Cricetulus griseus: one gene and its partners. The protein of the gene in region 1 interacts with the protein of each later gene in a pairwise test. Links are inferred from orthologs where the notes say so. Each region holds a gene or a part of one and is shown on either strand. Other genes may lie near its edges. The genes, in order: Ttc23, Crebzf and Trim10.

Region 1 (3,647 bases):
CCAGCCTGTGGCACTATTGATAGGTGGCAGAACCTCTAGGCAGTGACATGGGAGCCCAGCCCCTCCCTGATTCCCTTCACTTCTAGTTACCATGACACTCTTACCATTGCCCCATCACGGGACGCAGCAGAGCCACAGGCTGGGGCACAGGCTGGAACCTCCAACAGTGTGAGTACCATTAGCTGTCCTTACTTTATGCTGATTTATCTCAGGTGTTTGTTTCAACAGCAGAGGGTTGTGTAGTCACAGCTCTGGTCTTCAATTCCCTTTCCATTTTCCATGCCTTCGATCTTCCTTCTCTTGCTCTTCTGATTATCATTTATGTCAAACCATTTTTATTTTATCAATCAGTGTGTTTAAGAGTTTAGAATGGAGCCAGGCAGTGGTGGCACACACCTTGAGTCCCAGCACACTCAGGAGGCAGAGGCAGGCAGATCTCTGTGAGTTCAAGACCAGCCTGGTCTACAAGAGCTAGTTCCAGGACAGCCTCCAAAGCCACAGAGAAACCCTGTCTTGAAACTCGCCCCCCAAAAGAGTTTAGAATGGTTGGGATTTTTCTTCGCTAGTGTATCAGCTAGATTTTCTAGTTTTGTTTTTTGTTTTTGTTTTTTTTTTTTGGTGTGTGTGTGTGTGTTAAAGAAATATAAAGAGTCCACAGAACTATATGGGTTGTGAGGAGTGACTGATTTCTAGGCAGAGAAAATGTTCTATCAATATCCTAGTGTGTTCGGCTCTGGGATAGCTTCCCCCTCCCTGCCCCTCATATCACCAAGAACACTAAAATGTCTGAAAAACAAGAAAAATAGCTTGCTGTATCCTTCTGAGGTGAAAATAGTTTCTGATAAAATGAGCAGATTAACGGGCACAAGAGAGTCCCTCGAACTGGCTTCTCTTATCCAAATGGTTATTTTTAAACCTTTCACCGTCACTAACAACATATTTGCTCCATCTCTGCTTTGGATCTTTGAGCTATTTTCAAAATGTTCTTCTGTGCTCTTTTCAGATATGGCCGAGCAGTATTTTCAGGAAAGCATGACTCATGTGAAGGATTCTGAAGGAGCAGGAAGAGTCAAGTTCCTTTCCATTCAAGATGAATTTTGCAATTTTCTGCAGATCACTGGACAAAAAGAAGTAAGTGAGTTTAGATCACAATTGTCAAGCTATTCCTACGGGATGCCAAAGACTACTCTTTCAGCCTTCAACCATCTGTTAAACACCTAGTATATACAGGGCATGTCCTAGCCTCTGGAGAGACCCAGGTAAGTAAATCAAGGAGCCACTCTCAGGCAGCATCCACATGCTTCCTCTTAGAAACAAAACAGTGAGAAATTAAATGCTACATCCAACTACAAAAGGTCACGAAGGGTTGAAAACCTTGAGAACTCAGTGGGCAAGAGCCCTCACTGAAGCCCAAGGTTCTTCCAGCTGGGGTGGTCTGTGGCCCTCAGTGTGGTCAATTCCTTTTTTCCTCTTCTGTATATTGAATGGAATTTTCATTTCTAACAAAAACTACCCAGCACAGAGGTCCCAGCTCACTGTCTCTGCTGCTGGTCTGTAAAGGCATGCTCAACATGACTTAGAAAGGTAGGACAAAGCCAGAGCTTATAGTATACTAAAAAAAATTTCCGTGTAAGTCAGAGCAGCTCCAGGAAAAGAAAGTAGATAATTTAGAGGTGTGTGGTGTGTGTGTGTGTGTGCTGTGTGCTGTGTGTGTGTGTGTGTGTGTGTGTGTGTGTGTGTGTGTGTGTGTGGTATGTGTGTGCATGTGTGATGTATGTGTATGTGTGTGGTGTGTGTGTGGTATGTGTGTGTATATGTGATGTGTGCATGTGTGTGGTGTGTGTGTGTGTGTGTGTGTGTATGTGTGTGTGTGTGTATGTGTGTGTGTGTGTGTGTTATGTGTGTATGTGTGTTTTCAGTCTAGCATAGCAGATCTTGGAGATGAAGATGAAAAGTAGTCTTTCTTTGTTGTCTGGAGTTGTCTTTGTTGTCTTCTCCCTACTACGCTTTCCTCATCCTTGACTTCTTTTCTCTCAGTTAAGGACCACGGGCTTTTATTCTGCACTCATTCCATTTGTCAGGCCAGAGTAAATGCACAGTCACCATAACAAATAGTGTTTCACTGTTCTTCTGAATCACCCAGCCAAAGATACAGGGCCCTGCTAGGGCCTCGGATTCCTACCCGAGACTCCATCTTAGTCCTATGGGGACTTCACAGGTTCCTCATTCACCTCCAAGTTTCCTCAACACACACATGGTTTAACATTTCCCCTCCCACCATCCATCATCTCATCAGGACCACTCTAGAATCTTCTCTTTCCCAGGTGCTTCCTCCCCACTTTTACCTTAATCTGTTCAGATTCTGAAAGCACACCTGAACATCGAACACTCATTTGGTTCTCCAATGAACCTTAATACCCTCATGGCAAAGCTGGCATGACCCTCCCAATGTCCAGAGTCTGCTGATGTTTTGTTTTGTTTTGTTTTGTTTTGTTTTGTTTTGAGATAGGGTTTCTTTGTATTGCTTTGAAGCCTATCCTGGCACTCGCTCTATAGTCCAGGGCTGGCCTCGAACTCAAAGAGCTCCCCCTGCCTCTGCCTCCTGAGTGCTCAGGATTAAAGGTTTTGCCACCACCAACTGCCCAGCAAGCTCCAGGAGCCTTCTGTCTTTGCCTCCCTAGCTCTGGGATTACAGGTGCACACCACCACAGCCGGCATTTTTATGTGGGTTCTGGGGATTGAACTCAGGCCCTTATGCTTGAGGTACTTTTAAAGACCATCTGCCTCCCCAGCCCATACTGCCCCTTTCTAACACCTCCCTGCTATGACTGCTCTTAATAATTCTGGTTCTTCCCATTAAGTTTTCCCATCTGCTTTCCATTGTCATCAGAATGTGTCTTTTAACTTGACACGCACCCATCCTAGTCTCCCTAGTCAACAGAAGCAGTGTCAAAAGCTTCATTCAGGAGAAGAACCTCCAGCCCTTCTCCCCATCACTGACTGACTTCCCAAAGCCCAGCAGTCAAATCCCATGGGAAAGCCACCTCACAGGTGTTGGGAGGGGGATGCATGGAGATCCCAGACCTCTGAGTGCTGCAATGAGCCACACTTGGCAAGTTACACAGTTGCTTTGCCTGAGAAGTTGATTTCTGCTCATTACCACCCTTAATGTGCCAACCCAGTCACTAACTCACGTTACTGCCCAAAAGGAGCCATGTTCTTCATTCACATGTCTGCCTGTCTACGACATGGAATCGGGATGTGCCCCCATCCACCCATACCAGGGCTATGCTATGGGAATCCCTTTCTGTGGTCCTGGCTTTATTTGACTGTTGAATTCAGCATTCACGTTGTACAACCATAACTATGTTTTCAGGTGGAAGATCCAGTAAGAATTTCAGGATGTGTTGGAAGTTCAGGCTTTCCCCCTGTATGTCTTAGTATCTGCAAACATTAATAATCGGGGAATATTATTTTCTGACCAGCTCCTATTTTCCTATTCCATGTTGGCACAAATAAATAGGACAAAGCATGATGTCATGCTCCATGGAATGTTTACTTTCGGCTTCCTAAGCATTCACCGTGAGAACAGAAAGTCCAGAAGCACAGCCTAGTTTTCTCTTACTCACGATCAGTAGTGTGCAGGG
Region 2 (4,329 bases), about 21 Mb from region 1:
CAGGAAGTAGAAGCAACCCGATAGGTACACAGACAAGAAAAGGAACAACACATAATAATAAAGTTTGTTAGCTTCGGGCTTCTTCTCCACTCTAACCTGTGACAAAGGCATGACCTGCTTTTTCTCAGGCCAGCAGCTTCCCCTCCACACCTTCTAGCTGACCGTTGGAAGCTGGTCCAGAACATGTTTACCTGAAGCTGTGGCCCTGTCAGCTCCTCCTCCTTTCCATAAATTGATCAGTCTGTCAGTTCGAAATGAGGTGCCGGGGCAGATCCTAGGCCACCGAGAACATTTAACACTACCAATCCCTGTGTGTGTACTTAATTTTTAATTAAATTTACTTATTGCTGCCTGCTATGTTTGAGTTGTTCCTGCTTTTAATTTAATTAGCAGAGTACAGCCTGACCAAGACCCCTAGAAGATAACATGCCTCTGTGTGTGTGTGTGTGTGTGTGTGTGTACACTGCCAGGAAGCCTAATTTATTTTGAGCTTAATTAAAATAACTTGTATGATTCATTGCAGCCCTATTCTCCACTCTCCTCCTCTCTCGAATTCAGCTGTACTGTCATCGGCTTTTCTTTGGAAAACATGAGCTATGGTGTAGCATTTCATTATATTGTAAACGCTTCAGGTCTCAAATCCGTTATGCACTGGAGAAATAGCATAAACAACCCAGAACCACAGATTCAGAATGTGGTGTTTTCTTCAAGACAGCTGACTTGGTATTTTCAAAAAGCCAGCATTTTAAAAAGCAGATAAGGGGGAAGGAATTGCTATAGCTTGAGAAATGAAGAAAACAAAAAACAAATACAAAAGAACAAGCACAAGACAAACCGCAAAACAAGAGACTATTATACAAGACACCCAATCCCAGCAGACCAGCTAATGCTGGAAGTGATCGCGTTGCAAAAAAACAAATAATGATGTTAATAAAATAATAATCGTAATAGCCGTGGTAGTAGTATGAAAGATTATCTGAGACTAAGGACTTCTAAGAGAGTTAGAGAACAGCACATAAATTACTTTGAGGTTGGTAACACTAGATTAGGAAGGATAGTCTTTTGTTTTAGTGGTGGCTATTTCCTCAGGTTTGTTTTGCTTGCAATTGAGGGAGAAACAGCCAAGTGTTCACAAATCCATATATATATATATATATAATATATATATATATATATATATATATATATATGTATGTCATATATGTCTAGAGGTCAAGCGTCGGATTTTCGAGTCTGATACTGGGTAGTAGTTAGTACTGATGAATGAGGGAGTGTAATCGTAGGTTTTCATTGTTTTTGCCGCTGTTACTATGACATCATCGCAAAGCTAGAATTACTGCCCCTCGAAAGCACCCGGAATCTCGCGATATCCTGGCTGGAGGAGCGCGCTGCTGGTGGGCGGGGTAGGGAGAGCGAGTAACTTCCGGCCAGGCCGCTGTCTGGGTGGCGCGGCCCGGTCCTCGCGGGTGTCGCCGCTTCTCGCTTCCACGGCCGTCCCCCCGCCTCGTGCGGGGGGTTGGGCGGCCGCGGGAGGCCACTCAGACCTTCCCCGGTGCCTGCGGTTCGTTCCGCGCCGTGGCTGTGCCCGCGGGGGGCCCGGGGTCTGAGGGGCTGCGGCCTACCCGGGCCCGCCGCCCGGCTCCATGAGGCACAGCCTGACCAAGCTGCTGGCAGCCTCGGGTCGCGATTCGTCGAGCCACCGCGATAGCCGGGAGCCGGCCGCCACGCGCGCGCCGCCCGGGGACCCGACTGCGGCCGCCGCGGGGGCGGAGACGTCAAGGTCCGGATCGTCTGGCCGCGAGCCGCGGCGCGGCGACGGGGGCGAGCCGGAGGAGGCCCGGAGGGGGAGCCGCGGCAGCGTGGCCGTGCGCGCGCCCGCGCCCTCGCCAGTGAAGATGGAGGAGGAAGAGGAGGACGCAATCGCCATGGTCCCCAAGGAAGAGCCGGAGGACATGGACTTTCTCTCTGGGCTGGAACTGGCCGATCTGCTGGACCCTCGGCAACCGGACTGGCACCTGGAGCCCGGGCTCAGCTCGCCCGGGCCCCTGTCCTCGTCCGGCGGAGGCTCGGATAGCGGCGGCCTGTTGAGGGGGGACGACGACGACGAGAGCGCGGCTGCCGAGATGCAGCGCTTTTCTGACTTGCTGCAGAGGCTGCTGAACGGCATCGGGGGCTGCAGCAGCAGCGGCGGTGACCGCGGCAGCGCGGAAAAGAGGCGGAGAAAGTCCCCGGGAGGAGGCGGTGGCACCAACGACAACAACCCAGCGGCGACCAAGAGTCCCCGGAAGGCGGCGGCGGCCGCTGCCCGTCTTAATCGGCTCAAGAAGAAGGAGTACGTGATGGGGCTGGAGAGTCGAGTCCGGGGACTGGCCGCCGAGAACCAGGAGCTGCGGGCCGAGAATCGGGAGCTGGGCAAACGCGTGCAAGCACTGCAGGAGGAGAGTCGCTACCTACGGGCTGTCCTGGCCAACGAGACGGGACTGGCTCGCCTGCTGAGCCGGCTGAGCGGCGTGGGACTGCGGCTGACCACCTCGCTCTTCAGAGACTCGCCCGCCGGTGACCATGACTACGCCCTGCCGGTGGGGAAGCAGCCGCCGGAGCTGCTGGAAGAGGACGACGCGGCGGGAGGAGTGTGTCTCCATGTGGACAAGGATAAGGTGTCGGTGGAGTTCTGCTCGGCGTGCGCTCGGAAGGCGTCGTCGTCTCTTAAAATGTAGGGTCAAGTAATCTGCTCTTTATCCGCGTTTACCCCTTTCTACTCCCTTACACCATGTAAAACACCTTTAGTGGGACATCTTCACCGGACACATTTCAGAGGCGGAAAAAAAAAAGTAATATTAAATCTATTAAGTGTTTAGCTAAAAGCATGAATGTGACACTGTAACCAACTCCTAATGATAACCTGTGACTATTAAATCTCTCTGACAGTTTCTTTTTTAGGTGATTTCCTTCCTGCCAGGCTCCGTTGTAGGGGTTACAGAACAGTCGTTCCCGCCTCACAACCTGGTAAGGATCCATCTCTTCACGTAACGCTCATGCTCTGCTGCTTAGTCTACTTTTAATGGGCAACATCTCAATTTGTGTGTGTGTGTGATATATTTTTTTGTTTCTTTTTTCTTTTTGAAAGGTGGGAGGGGAATCTTAATTTGGGCCCTGTCCACCCTGGAAACAGACTTGTGCTGGTCAATAATGTACTTAAATTGCTTTTGGTTGAACTAGCTGTTAAATGTGTCCCCTTGTTCAGAGTTGCGTGTACCTAGCTCTTCTGTCCCCAGTGTGGACATGGCCTTGGATGACATCGGTTCCAACTGTACACTGAAACCTGCTAATAGAGATACAGTTTGGAGACAGTGAAACAGGTGAAGTTGAATGGAAGTTCCGAGTTGTACAAGGTGCAAATTGGAATTCCAATTGTAGCAACTTTTCAGAGGTTGACAATAAGTATTTGAGGCATGCACAAATGTGGGTATTTTTCTGGAGATGAAAAATCTCTTAAAATACTTAAGAATGCCTTCTAATTTTCAGTAGAAAATAAATACAATCTATATAAGATCCCAATATTTCATCACTTGAAAACTTGGAAGTTAACATACCCATCAGATTTCTGTGTTTTAATTAGAGGAAGAATGATTAATGAAATGTTTGAGGACCAGCACAGTAATTAAGTATGAAGAAATTGTTGAAAGCATTTATTTTTGTTGTATTAAAATTTAGGCTAAATTTGTGTATGATTAGATATTGAAGGTTGTGAAAAGTGAATGAAAACATGTAAAGTGAGGCTTCACAAAGAATCTTATTTTCCATATTTCTAAAACTTTTGCCTTTTTAAAATTAAATAGTTCTGGCCACTTAATGATATGACTGAGGCTGTTTTCCAAAGATGGAAAATATTCTTCCCTTGAAATACTGTTTATTGTCCACTTGTCTAAATCTGTGTTATGATGTCTTGAAGTGCAAGAGACATTAAATTCTTTGTGAAACATCACTGTTTGATAAAGGATATACGTATTTAGCATCCTTGTTTTTCTTTGTGCTAAAGTGGATACAGCTGTTGGGGCAGAAGAGACGGGACCAGCTGCTGGCCACATTTCCTGCTTTATTTTAAAAGGTAGTATAAGAAATAAGGAAAAAGAGGTAATATCAGGGCTTCTGCTGTCTTTTATTTTTAAAATGTTCATAATTAAGTATTTTCCAGCAGTCCAAAGATGTAAGTTATCTTACACGTAAGATGTCTTATTTTGTTACTTGGTTATGGAAATGGAATCTTGTTCTTGCACAACTAACTGTAAATGTTTTGTTGCTAGATAATATGATTTGAGACCTAAATTA
Region 3 (3,647 bases), on another chromosome or scaffold:
TCTGGCCCAGCTCTGGGGATATAGCCTCGGGTTTCCTGCACTTTCTAGTTTCACACCTAGGGGCACAGAAATGGCAGTATGGGGAAAAATACTTAATTTTTGCATGTATGTAGTGTGACACATGCATGCAGTGTCCATGGAGACCAGAAGAGGGCATAGGATCCACTGTAACTAGAGATGTGTGTGTGAAATGCTATATGGGTTCTGGGAACTGAGCCCAGGGTCTTTACAACAGCTCTTAACCACTGAGCCATCTCTCTGGCCCCTAGAATTATTCTGTTTTAAAAATGATGTCTCCAGGCTGCTATCTTCTTCTAACAAGGCCTGGAGCAGCAACTTCCCATCCTCTCAGACAGACCCTACTGCTACACAAGTGGGTAGATCAACAGCAGTGCATGAGAACACATTAGGGCAAGCATAGATTTACACATGACTGTGTGCCCTTCATGTAAGAGTGTGGTTTATTTGCACAGCAATAACTAGGTGGGTGGACCGCGGGTGGCTATCTACGTGAAAAGAAGAAATAGGCATTGTATCACTGACCTTATTAGAGTGCTTCTGATATCCTGGGAGGGAGGGAGGGAGGGAGGGAGGGAGGAGGGAGGGAGGGAGGGAGAAAGAGAGAGAGAGAGAGAGAGAGAGAGAGAGAGAGAGAGAGAGAGAGAGAGAGAGATTGATTCAGTTTCTGGCTTTTCTCTTCTACTTTTGTTATACACACACACAAAAACAAAAACAAAAACAAAAACAAATGCCATATTCCTAGCCCCAGATCCATGGGGACCAAAATCCAGCACCCAACTCCTTTGCTTCATGGACAGAGTTGGTGATATGACCAACTTCTAGCAACAGGCAAAAATATGCAAGTCCTACACCAAGGTCTCTTATTTCCCAGTACCCAGTGCATCCCTGTAAATCCTGTTGCTGGAACCCCAGTAACTCTCCTCTAGTTCAAGGAGGCAATTCAGTAAAGGGAGAACTTCCTGGCCAGTGGAGGGGACATTCAAGTTATGAAAATTTTGCTTTGGAAACAGCACCTGGCAGTTGTCTGCACAGTACTTGGTAATTTTCAATAGCAACTTCTACCTTATTTTACTGTTGGATCCTCACTTCTTCCCATTCTATGGATGCCAGGAAAGAAGACCAAGGCCAGAGAGTACCATGACCAGGGAATTCTTGGTGAGGCACAGACTAGAATGTAGCACCCACCCCCACCCCCACCCCCGGTCCTGTGTTCCACAACCTATCTTGGATGCAGAGCCAGGTATGTAAAGGAAGTGATTCCAGAGACCCCCGGGGGTGAGGGCAGGCCGGGTCTCACCGTCAGGAGGCCCCTCGCTGGCCGCTTGTTCTTCTCCTCCAGCTCCTCGATCAGGGTGCTGAACCGGCAGATCTCCCCTGTGGCCAGGGAATCAAACTCCTCCTGTTGCTTCAGGATGTCCCCATCCAACCTCTCCAGCTGAGCTAAAAGGACACTCTGTTGTTCCTCTAGGAACTGACTCAGATGTGCGAACTGGGAAATCACCTGTTGTCTCTTGGTGGCCACCTGAGTCTGAGAAGGAAGTGAGACCCAAGAAGGACGTTTTCCTCTCCCCACAGCAGAATCCCATCCCCCACCCACAATCCTCCTCTCCCCTTCCTTTCCCTTACACATTTCCACTTGCCTCTTGATCTATACCCACACCTCCCAAGGTTTGGTGACAAAATCACAGCCCCCCACTCCCACTTGTTGCTTGACCCCCATATGGATGTGGAGCTGCAGCTGGTATTCTTTCTGCCTGCCACCCCATTTCTCATGAGGCCCGACATGGCCCCATTGCCATTACTGTGGCTTCTGAAAGGGGCCCCGAGACACCAGAGATGCCTGGCATCTTGCCAGGCAGGAAGCACACATTGTGTACACACCATTAAGGTGTTAGAGGCAGGATTACACTAATTCCTGCAGTAAGTGATTCAGTAAGGAGATGAATCTTAATCTCCATTCTACAGGCAAGTAAGCTAAAGCTAGAGAGTTGCTCAAGATGGAAGAGTTAACGTCAGAGTCATAACACCTTCAAGTATCTGTCTGTTCGGTGGCCCCAGACTCTGGAGCAAGGGCTGGGCCTGGGGAGGTGGAGACCTACCAGGAGCACCTGTATCCTTTTGTTTTCTCTTGACTGGATTTCTTGAATCTCCGTTCTCTCTTTCCTTAGACACATAAGACAGTTTTGTATTTGTTCCTGGGGAGAAGGAGCATAAAATATTAAGATGGAGAAAGTAACTACAAAGGGACATCACTCTCTTCAATCTCTGGACATGAAATGCCCTGGAGATAAATGCGAACCCTGGCACCTTGAGAGACTCAGAGTCTTCTTCCTTATTCTGATTTTGAGGCAGGATTTCATGTAGCCCAGACTTACCTCAAACTCAGGATCCTCCTGCCTCAGCACCACCAGGCCTGGCCTTGATGCTTGTTCCTCTTGCTTTATGCTCCAGAGACGTTGACCAGAGTTTACCCCCTTCTCATGAGCCATCAAAGGTCATGACTTTGCTTACCCTTTGAGCCCTTCTTCAGGTTAAACAACTACCTTCTTTTGCATGTGGCAAGTATTACCTATGACCTGAGTGCTGCATGTTCTTTGCTGAAACTGAAATCATGTCATACAAAGGAAATAGATTCAAATAACATCTTCTTTTTTTTGCTAGAACCAATAATCTAGAAATGATTCGATATGAGAAGGAATTTCACACAAAAATAATTGATGCACTATTTTATAAATTGTTCTAGAAGAGAATTAGGAACAACCAAACACATAGATACCCACATGTGTGTTTGAGAACACTGATAGAAAACCTGGGGTTGTAGCTCAGTTATTAAAGTGCTTGGTTAGCATGTAAGAAACCCTGGGTTCAGTCCCTAACACTTCATAAATCATGTATGGTAGCACATCCCTATAATCCCAGCATTCAAGGGGGTAAAGGCAGGAGACTCAGAAATTCAAGGTCATCCTAGGCTGTATAATTAGTCTGAGGCAATGCTCCACTAAGACCTGTCTTTAAAAAAATAAAAATAAAAACAGAATACATAGAAAAATTTCACTATCAAAAGATCATTAATAAATGCTACATCATACATATATACACACCTGCTTATATCAAAACACAGTATAAAAGCAACTAAAACCAGCAATATACTCATTTAATGAAAACCAAATGTGTTCCCCCAACTAGCTTATTCACACCAGGAACATTTAGTTACAAGCATGTTTCAAATACATCACACTCAGACCAGCCCTCCACACAGAAGACATTCACTCTTGTAAACATACAAACATGGGCATTCCCTGAAATGCAAACCTCAGACACACTTAAACTGATACAGGGCGCGCGCACGCGCGCGCGCGCGCGCACGCACGCACGCACACACACACACACACACACACACACACACACACACACACACTTGATGACTCATTCGTTCAGAAAGGATTTACTGAGCTCCTGCTATTTATGGGTCACAAGGAAACAGCATAGAACTTGCTCTTAATCATAACCTTGTGCTTTTCTGTGCTTGAGTCTCTTGCCTGGGTGATCAAGGTAAGGAGAAAGAATTTGGAGTCAGGATACCCCTTCCACCCCAGAATTGACAACACCTTTCTATTTCCCTTGGT

The links.
Region 2: the proteins of Ttc23 (region 1) and Crebzf interact in binary tests that used the Homo sapiens proteins (3 or more experiments, as listed by UniProt). The two-hybrid records come from large-scale screens. The link is inferred for Cricetulus griseus from reciprocal best matches to the Homo sapiens genes TTC23 and CREBZF.
Region 3: the proteins of Ttc23 (region 1) and Trim10 interact in binary tests that used the Homo sapiens proteins (3 or more experiments, as listed by UniProt). The two-hybrid records come from large-scale screens. The link is inferred for Cricetulus griseus from reciprocal best matches to the Homo sapiens genes TTC23 and TRIM10.

Annotation. Positions count from the first base shown.
Region 1 is NC_048596.1:129,512,608-129,516,254, reverse strand, and holds part of Ttc23 (tetratricopeptide repeat protein 23), read left to right. Parts: intron 1-1,003; coding exon 1,004-1,131; intron 1,132-3,647. UniProt on the Homo sapiens protein: Participates positively in the ciliary Hedgehog (Hh) signaling.
Region 2 is NC_048596.1:108,656,687-108,661,015, reverse strand, and holds the start of Crebzf (CREB/ATF bZIP transcription factor), read left to right. Parts: upstream 1-1,411; 5' UTR 1,412-1,643; coding exon 1,644-2,713; coding exon of another isoform or gene 2,714-2,717; exon of another isoform or gene 2,718-2,928; coding exon 2,929-2,944; 3' UTR 2,945-3,006; exon of another isoform or gene 3,007-3,244; 3' UTR 3,245-3,359; exon of another isoform or gene 3,360-4,039; 3' UTR 4,040-4,329.
Region 3 is NW_023276806.1:228,876,485-228,880,131, forward strand, and holds part of Trim10 (tripartite motif-containing protein 10), read right to left. Parts: intron 2,217-3,647; coding exon 2,121-2,216; intron 1,550-2,120; coding exon 1,319-1,549; intron 567-1,318; coding exon 544-566; intron 57-543; coding exon 1-56. UniProt on the Homo sapiens protein: E3 ligase that plays an essential role in the differentiation and survival of terminal erythroid cells. May directly bind to PTEN and promote its ubiquitination, resulting in its proteasomal degradation and activation of hypertrophic signaling.